2 linked regions of the Kluyveromyces lactis genome follow. The protein of the gene in region 2 interacts with the protein of the main gene of each other region in a pairwise test. Links are inferred from orthologs where the notes say so. Each region holds a gene or a part of one and is shown on either strand. Other genes may lie near its edges.

Region 1 (3,735 bases), about 1.3 Mb from region 2:
CTTCCTTTTTTCTTTTGCACTCCATCCCGTTTCCTTGGGAAACCCACCCTTTAAAAGTGTACCAACTAGCACAAAATCACAGATAACTGATTTCTATCATGACATTTCACCAAAATGCCTGGACATATTGATCAGGAGAAATGGATTTAATTCATCCCCTTCCTTCTTACAAAGAAGTAGCGAAGGAGCTAGAACAAATTAGATAAGCTATTATATGAATATCCAGGCTAGGTAGCAGTTGTTACAAGTGACCCATTAATTGCTCCACCCTTATTTCTTTTGCCTTTACCATTACGACCCGCTATTTTTACTCCTTTTCACGTTCCTTTTCAAACGTGTTTTCTACATACTAGCTGGAGAAGAGCAGTGGGGCAATGAAGGGCCGGGGTCAAGCAGATGTTACTGTTGATGTTTTTGTGGCTAATGGGACTTTACCTGGTCAGAAATAGACCAGAGGGAGGAAGTTAAAATCGATATTTGTTGAAACGGATCATAAACTATGATCGGGTAACTACCAATGTAATAGGCGGTTAAGTATCAAGATGATATGTAAGGATTTCTAGTTGAAACACCATTAACCAATCTGAATTATTATATAAGGAGGCATTAGATCTGGACAAGGACCATCAACACAGTCATGCCAGAACCCCAGGTGCATCAACATACATTACTAGATATATAGCTAATAAACACTATGGATTCATCAGATACAAAAGATCTTGAAATAACAACACGTGACTGGTAATACCAGTATCACCAACAATATTAATGGGTTATTTATCAGTCACGAGACTTTAGAAAGGAGTTCATCAGGAATGGGATACGGGTTTTATGATTAAAGATATTCAATAGATCATTTTAGTTGGGATTATTTATTGCTCATTTCTGAGCTTCATTATATATGTACAATTTTGGGACGGCCTTGAAAGCGGAAGTCTAGCTTTATAGTAGAGTTTCACCAAGAGCACATCTTGCAATGGAACAACCAGTTGTGATAGTATCTACCACGTGACCATCGTGAGAAGCCAGTTCCGGGTTGCATTCTACGACATCAAGGGCTACTAGCCTACCAGTTTCAGCGATTCTCTCTACCAAGAACAGCCCTTCTCTTAAAGTCAACCCACCTCTTACTGGAGTACCAGTGGCTGGTACGTATAATGGATCGATAGCATCGACATCGTAGGAAACCATGATTGGTTCATCACCGTTTGGTGCAACTTTTTCCAAAGCCATTTCGATGACTTTGTTCAAACCATATCTGTCTACGTGATACATGGAGTATGAGGCAATACCGTTATCCTTCAAAATCTTTCTTTCAGCGGCATCGACGTCTCTTAGACCGATGTAGGCGATCTTCTTTGGATCCAAACATTTTGGAACCCATTTTAAGGATGGAGGAGTGTTTTTAGCATCAAGGCCCATCAAGAAGGAGACAGGACAACCGTGAATGTTACCGGATTCAGTAGTAGAACATGTGTTGATATCAGCATGAGCGTCAATCCATAACAAACCAGCATTTGGGTATTTGTCCAAGACGCCAGCCACGGTACCGATAGCGATCGAGTGATCACCACCTAGGGTCACTGCCAATCTGCCTTCGTTGGAAACCTTCTTAACGGATTCGTAGATTAGTTTTGTGGCTTCTCCAACCAAATTTGGTCTTTTCATGATTCCATAAACATCAGTTTCATCATTCTTACCAGATTCGAAATCTCTACCTTTTAGAGGTTCTTCAAGAGTAGTTTCCCAACCTAGAGATTCGATATCTGATCTCAAACCTTGTTTCATTAAGTATTTAGGACCATTTTCAACACCAGATTTTGGTTGACCACCAGAGAATGGAGCTAGAACAATACCAAGCTTCTTTTGTTGGAAGAAATCAAAACGTGGATCGGATGACATTATGTATTTGTGTTGTGCGTGTTATAATAAAATTCTAAAGATCACTCAAGAATACAGTATGTATATCAGTGAATAACCTCTTTTCGACTTGCTGAGTATTATATGAATTGACGCTAATCATTGGACATATGAAAAGCTGTTATAGAAGTCTAACTTCTCTCGAAGGGAAACTCGGTTCTTTATATACTTGACGAAAAACTATAACGATCCCATTCAGCGAAACATGTTCGAGAAAAAATTCGCCCCTGTTAATTCATAATAATCCGTTAAGTGCTTGTGTATACCGATGCTTCTCCTCTTCATCTCTTTACCGTTCTCTTGTTCCTGCACTTAACGACAATAAACTTTCCTTTGACGTATTTTACCGATTTTCCTGATAATAATACATAGTTAAAAAACAAAAAAAAACAACCATATCCTATATAATGAATCGCCAAACAATATGTTGGAGGGGACAATTGCTAAGGGTTTCAGGCTAGATAAACGTTTATGTGTGACATTCCATCACATGTAGAGATAGAAGAAAGAACATGCCTCGAAAATTGCTACTTTGACGGCGATTGGACGGCAGGACGTGAAAAGAGGATGAGTATCAGAAAAAGGAATTGTTCTCATCTCGAGATAAGAATACATGTCAGTCTTGATTTCGCTCTCTTTGGGATCGGTAATTATCGCGCTGCTAAGCTTGACTTGATGATCTATGATATAATAGTTTGTATGCAGCATTTCGTTAAGTGATAAAACTAGCGAAGATCGGGTAACGGAGAAAAACTAATGAACGTCATTTTTTCATAGTTATTGTGAGCGATCATTTTGAAGAGGTATTTCAAGTCACGTGCACGATGCCTATCTATCCAATGTTGGTAATGTCATCCACAATAGAGCGCTGAGTATGTATCGGTGATCAATCTTTTTGCCGCGTACTGGTAGGAGTATTCAAAGTTCAAAATATCGGCTTTTTGACACTAATTCCGAGCATTTGGATTATCCAGTAAACCCTTAAAGGCTTCGAGCCTTCATTTTTTTTGTTCCCACAGCTCAGTTCAATCCGTTGATGACTTCCTTTGGTGTTTAAACTGCATAGTCTCCAAAAATTAAAAAAATAAACCCAAGGAAAAATGTAAAACACAGAAAATCTTAAACAAAACAAATCAAAGCTGATGCAGATAACTGACGAGTCATAGATTATTGCACTATATTAAGAGTATCCTTTACATATGCCAATGCTGCATTAATCAGTCGAAAAATATCCCGGCAATAAATAGAGTCAGCAAATTTGGTTCCTTTTCCTAGTTCAGTGGTGAAAGAAAAGGATATTACTGTCTTCAGTCATTCTGTTGTAATTTCTATAATCATCTTGATCCTGAAGAATCGACTACTTAAGGACGGTGATAGCTCATAAGAAAATCATTGGCTCGTTTACACAATTCAGAATAAGTCGATATGAATGACGATTTTTATAGACCGCCTAATATAGCGGATGTAAGCATCGAAACGGAGGGATTTGAAATCTCAGCACGGAATGATTCAATGATGATACAGAATAATTCACATACACCTACAAAGTTGAATAACTTAGAAGTCACTGTTATTTCCAGTGATGGTGGAAGTAGTGGTACTAATGCCAGTGAAAAGAATGGTACATTATCTCTATCAGCAGGGGAAAGCACAATGGGTGCAACGAGTAGGGCGGACAGAACTGTGCATAATTCCTCTAAACGTAGTGACAGTGTTAAGTTGATCAAAGTTATGAACAAGGTTGATATTTTGAAAGCAGTTTTCGCGACACTAACGGGTAAAGATCGTATAGCGAAAATATTCAAATATGTGATA
Region 2 (3,852 bases):
CCATAACGAAAATCATTAAAGGTGGGAATAAAATTGACAAAAAGCAGCATAAACCTGTATATTTCTCAGCTAATGTAATTGACACAGACCTTTTATTGCAACATGTCAGAAAAACCATTGAAACACATGCATCAGAGTACCCTTCTTTGCTTAAAAGTCTGGATTCAACTCCTTTCAAAGACGCTTTGCATATAACCCTATACCATAAGTCTCAAATCAGGTCTGTTGGTATAAAAGCTAAACAAATGTGGGCCAAATACTTGGATAGATACAAAGAGTATCTCTCAAAAGAAAATAACTCAGAGGCTACCAAAAACATTATCGCTACGGAGGATAGTGTCTCTTTCAAATTGAGAGATTTAATCTGGGATAAGCACGTAATTCTAGCTACCGTTTCCCTGCTAGATGATACCCATCCAATTGTTATGCCAGATGGTACTCATTTGGACCATTTGACTTGCCTTAACAAAGTTCCTCACATAACACTTGCATTGTTTTCCAATGAGAAAACAGCGAAGTATTCTGGTGAATTGGCTAAAGAAGTGTATGAGTTCGGTATACAAGAATCGGATACTGATACAGGTATGATCAGTCTAGGGACAACTGACAACCTTCAGTTTAGCGGGAAAGTCTGTATTAATTTATAACATTATAATATGACTATGCAGGTAACTTCCAAGCTACCGGGATACAACCGATTTATATAAGAGAGTATATATCATTAACGTTTCCCAAATATAAACATTGATGGAGAAACGATGGGAAAGGAGGTACTTCTATCCGAATGAAATTATGGATGTGAGAAGAAGTCACCCTTGTGGTTCACAAATATGTCAATAGCGGCCATGGCTGCATATAGTCTATTTTCTGCTTCTTCGAAAACAATGGAGTTTTTACCGTAGAAGACTTCTTCCGTAACTTCTTCCTGGTGTCTTGGTAAACAATGCATGAATTTATAGTTTGGTGCAGCAACAGAACATAGTTCTGAATTAATTTGGAACCCAGCAAATTGTCTTAATTTAGCTTCCTTAGCGAATTCTTCACCCATGGAAACAAAAGTGTCTGTCACCAAGATATTAGCGTCTGTACAAGCAGCCATCGAATCATGAGTGCAGACAAACTCACAGTTGTTCTGAGCAGCTAATTTTTGACCCTCTTGTTGGATGTCGCTGTCCAATTCAATACCTGGAGGAGTGGCTACGGCGACATCGATCCCCAGTTTCAAAGCAGCAATAGCCATATCGTTAATCACATTGTTGGCATCACCAACCCAAGCCATCTTCAATTTATTGTTATCGTAGTCCAAATGTTCCTTAATGGTCAACATATCACAAATGGCCTGCAAAGGATGGAACTTGTCACAAAGAGCATTGATAATTGGCACAGAAGAATCCTTGGCCAAGTTCAAAATGTCAGCATGTCTATTGACACGGGCAAAGATACATGAAACCATGGAAGACACAACCTTAGTTGTATCATAGAATGATTCATTAACACCTAATTGGATATCATCTTTCCCCAAGAACATTGGTTGACCACCGAAGAATGCGGCCGCACCTTCTGTGGAAATTCTGGTTCTAGTAGATCTCTTGGTGAAAATTAAAGCGATGGTCTTACCCAACAACTTCAAATGTTGTTTTTGGAATTCTGAAATATCATTACTCTTGAACACCTTCTTGTAATACTCGGCTCTATCGACCAAGCTCTTGAACTCATCATCGCTCAAATCCTTGATCGAAATCAAATGACGAATATCACCAGAAGAAGAGGAAGAAGCAGCGCTCATTATAGTCATAGCTAGTAAATCTGGAGTAAAAAATTCTGTATGCAGCCTTCGGGTACCTAAAAATCAGTCGGTTGAGGTGAAAGCAGCTGTCAAATGCGTGTAGATACTTGCAAGTTTTGTAGAATCTAAAACTGTTAGTTCGTTATCAGTTGTACTTAACGGTAAGAATTGGTCAAACTGTCTTTTTTTATTAACTTTTTTCTGTTCTGAATGAGAAATTGCCGTTTTCGTGCTGTTCGTTATATACCATGCAGTCATTCTGTACGAATGGGCTCTTTCCCAAACTATGCGTCATACCTTATATGGTGAGTCACAATTTAGCATCACGTGATTCGTGTTTGGTCACGTGGGATGTTTGTTGTTATGTGACGATGCTATCTGTTTCATCTCTTCTAGAAAGGTTTCCTTCTTCAACGTCAAATCTTGCAATTGCTGTGATAATATTTCGATTCTCTTGGAGCTTAGAGTGTCTCTGTCACGTTGAGAAGCAGCGTATTCGCTCAACTCTTGATATATATCTTCCCATTTTTGCTCGGGTTGCAATCTGGGTAGAAGAACTGTCTTTTGACCGCTTATTTTATCAAGTTCTTGTATTTCCTGTGGTAAAACGGTCTCTTCATCATGCAAACTTATCAATTGTTCAATCTCTTTACGTTTCCGTTGTTGCATCAGCTGTTTTTCTTTGTCTCCCAATGCTAACCGTTCGTCTTGCAGTGAGTTATCCATCAATAGTTGATCGTCTTCTTCAGCGTAAATATCAGCCTGGGCGGTTATTCCCAATTCACGTAAATCGTCTTTATCCTGATTGCTGAGCAACTTCACGTACGTCTTTTCGTTAACTTTCTTCTCTGAAACTAGCTGGCTGCGGTTTTGTACTTTCTTGGTGTACTTAGGTGGTTCATTTTGTTCTTCCTCTGAACCTTCTAAATCTTCTAAATTCAATACGTTAATCGTTTCCTTTGTATTACGGGGTTTTGTTCCGGCGGGTTGCTCAAACAACGTGGAGTAATCATCATCATTGGTATATTCCTCTACTAGTGGTACCTGTTTGTTTCTTTTCAACTTGAACTTTAACGGTTTGGCCAGCTGCTCCTCGGTCTCTTCGTCAGAGATTGATGTTGCAGCTTTGTTGATCGAGGTTCCTATCAGATCTACGTCTTCATCGCTCTCTAAATCAGGCAACTTGATCTTTACCATGATGAGACAGCAGTATTGGGTGGAACGGAAATAATCTCTATATACCTCTCTGTCTTGTTATGTATTGTTCTGTCTCTTTTTCTATTCCCTTTGTTATGCTTTTCACCTTGTATTTTAATGGTATATATGAATATTAACTGATAAAACATTATAAGTATATTTAATGGGAGAAGTAAAGAATAGTGTCTAGTGAACAGAATAAATATAGTAATAATTATCATGAAAGGACTGAAGAGGAGATGACACTTAGTAGTAATCAGTAATAAATAGTTATGGATATTGCGGATGTTGATTCTTCTGTCTGAATTTTTCTGTTTGATTTGAGTAGCTACTCCTTGATTATGATGTGGTCGATCTTATTGTTGAAAAGTGAAAAATCAGTTCGATCTCCGGCTTTATGGATGCTGGACGCTCTTGCAGATGGATGGTGACCCATGCTTCGCCTCTTGGGCAATATTATCAATTCGTTGTAGTCACTTTCGTTATCTTCTTCGTAGCCTTCGTCATCAATTATGTTATCATTGGCATCGTCATATATCTTGAATAAATTAGTTGTGTCGTTAACGGTATCAGGTACCATCCCCATTGGTTTGAAATTCGAAATGGTTGGTGAAATATCTGACATGCCGATGGAGAGTTGGTAGTGAGAGATTAACCTTGAGAAAATGTCGTTATCATCCATCCAAATGGTGACCCATCGTTTCAACAACTTCTTGTATTTGTACCAGTTGAACGTTTCCTTTGGTTCATTCAATAAGTTCAACAAACAGTTCTCTATCAATTGTTTATTGTTCAAAGGCATAAACTGAACAGTCTTCAAGATTCTCGAATTTATTGGTTTCACGTTTGAATTATCGGATAGGATTAAC

Evidence for each region. The genes of interacting proteins can lie anywhere in the genome.
Region 1: the proteins of ARG3 (region 2) and CAR1 interact in binary tests that used the Saccharomyces cerevisiae proteins (3 or more experiments, as listed by UniProt). The link is inferred for Kluyveromyces lactis from reciprocal best matches to the Saccharomyces cerevisiae genes ARG3 and CAR1.

What each region holds. Positions count from the first base shown.
Region 1 is NC_006042.1:59,483-63,217, forward strand, and holds CAR1 (arginase), read right to left. Parts: upstream 1,903-3,735; coding exon 943-1,902; downstream 1-942. Other genes in the region: PEX25 (Pex25p), read left to right, coding at 3,346-3,735.
Region 2 is NC_006042.1:1,330,538-1,334,389, reverse strand, and holds ARG3 (ornithine carbamoyltransferase), read right to left. Parts: upstream 1,796-3,852; coding exon 791-1,795; downstream 1-790. Other genes in the region: TRL1 (tRNA ligase), read left to right, coding at 1-647; NTR2 (Ntr2p), read right to left, coding at 2,129-2,983; SIP4 (Sip4p), read right to left, coding at 3,312-3,852.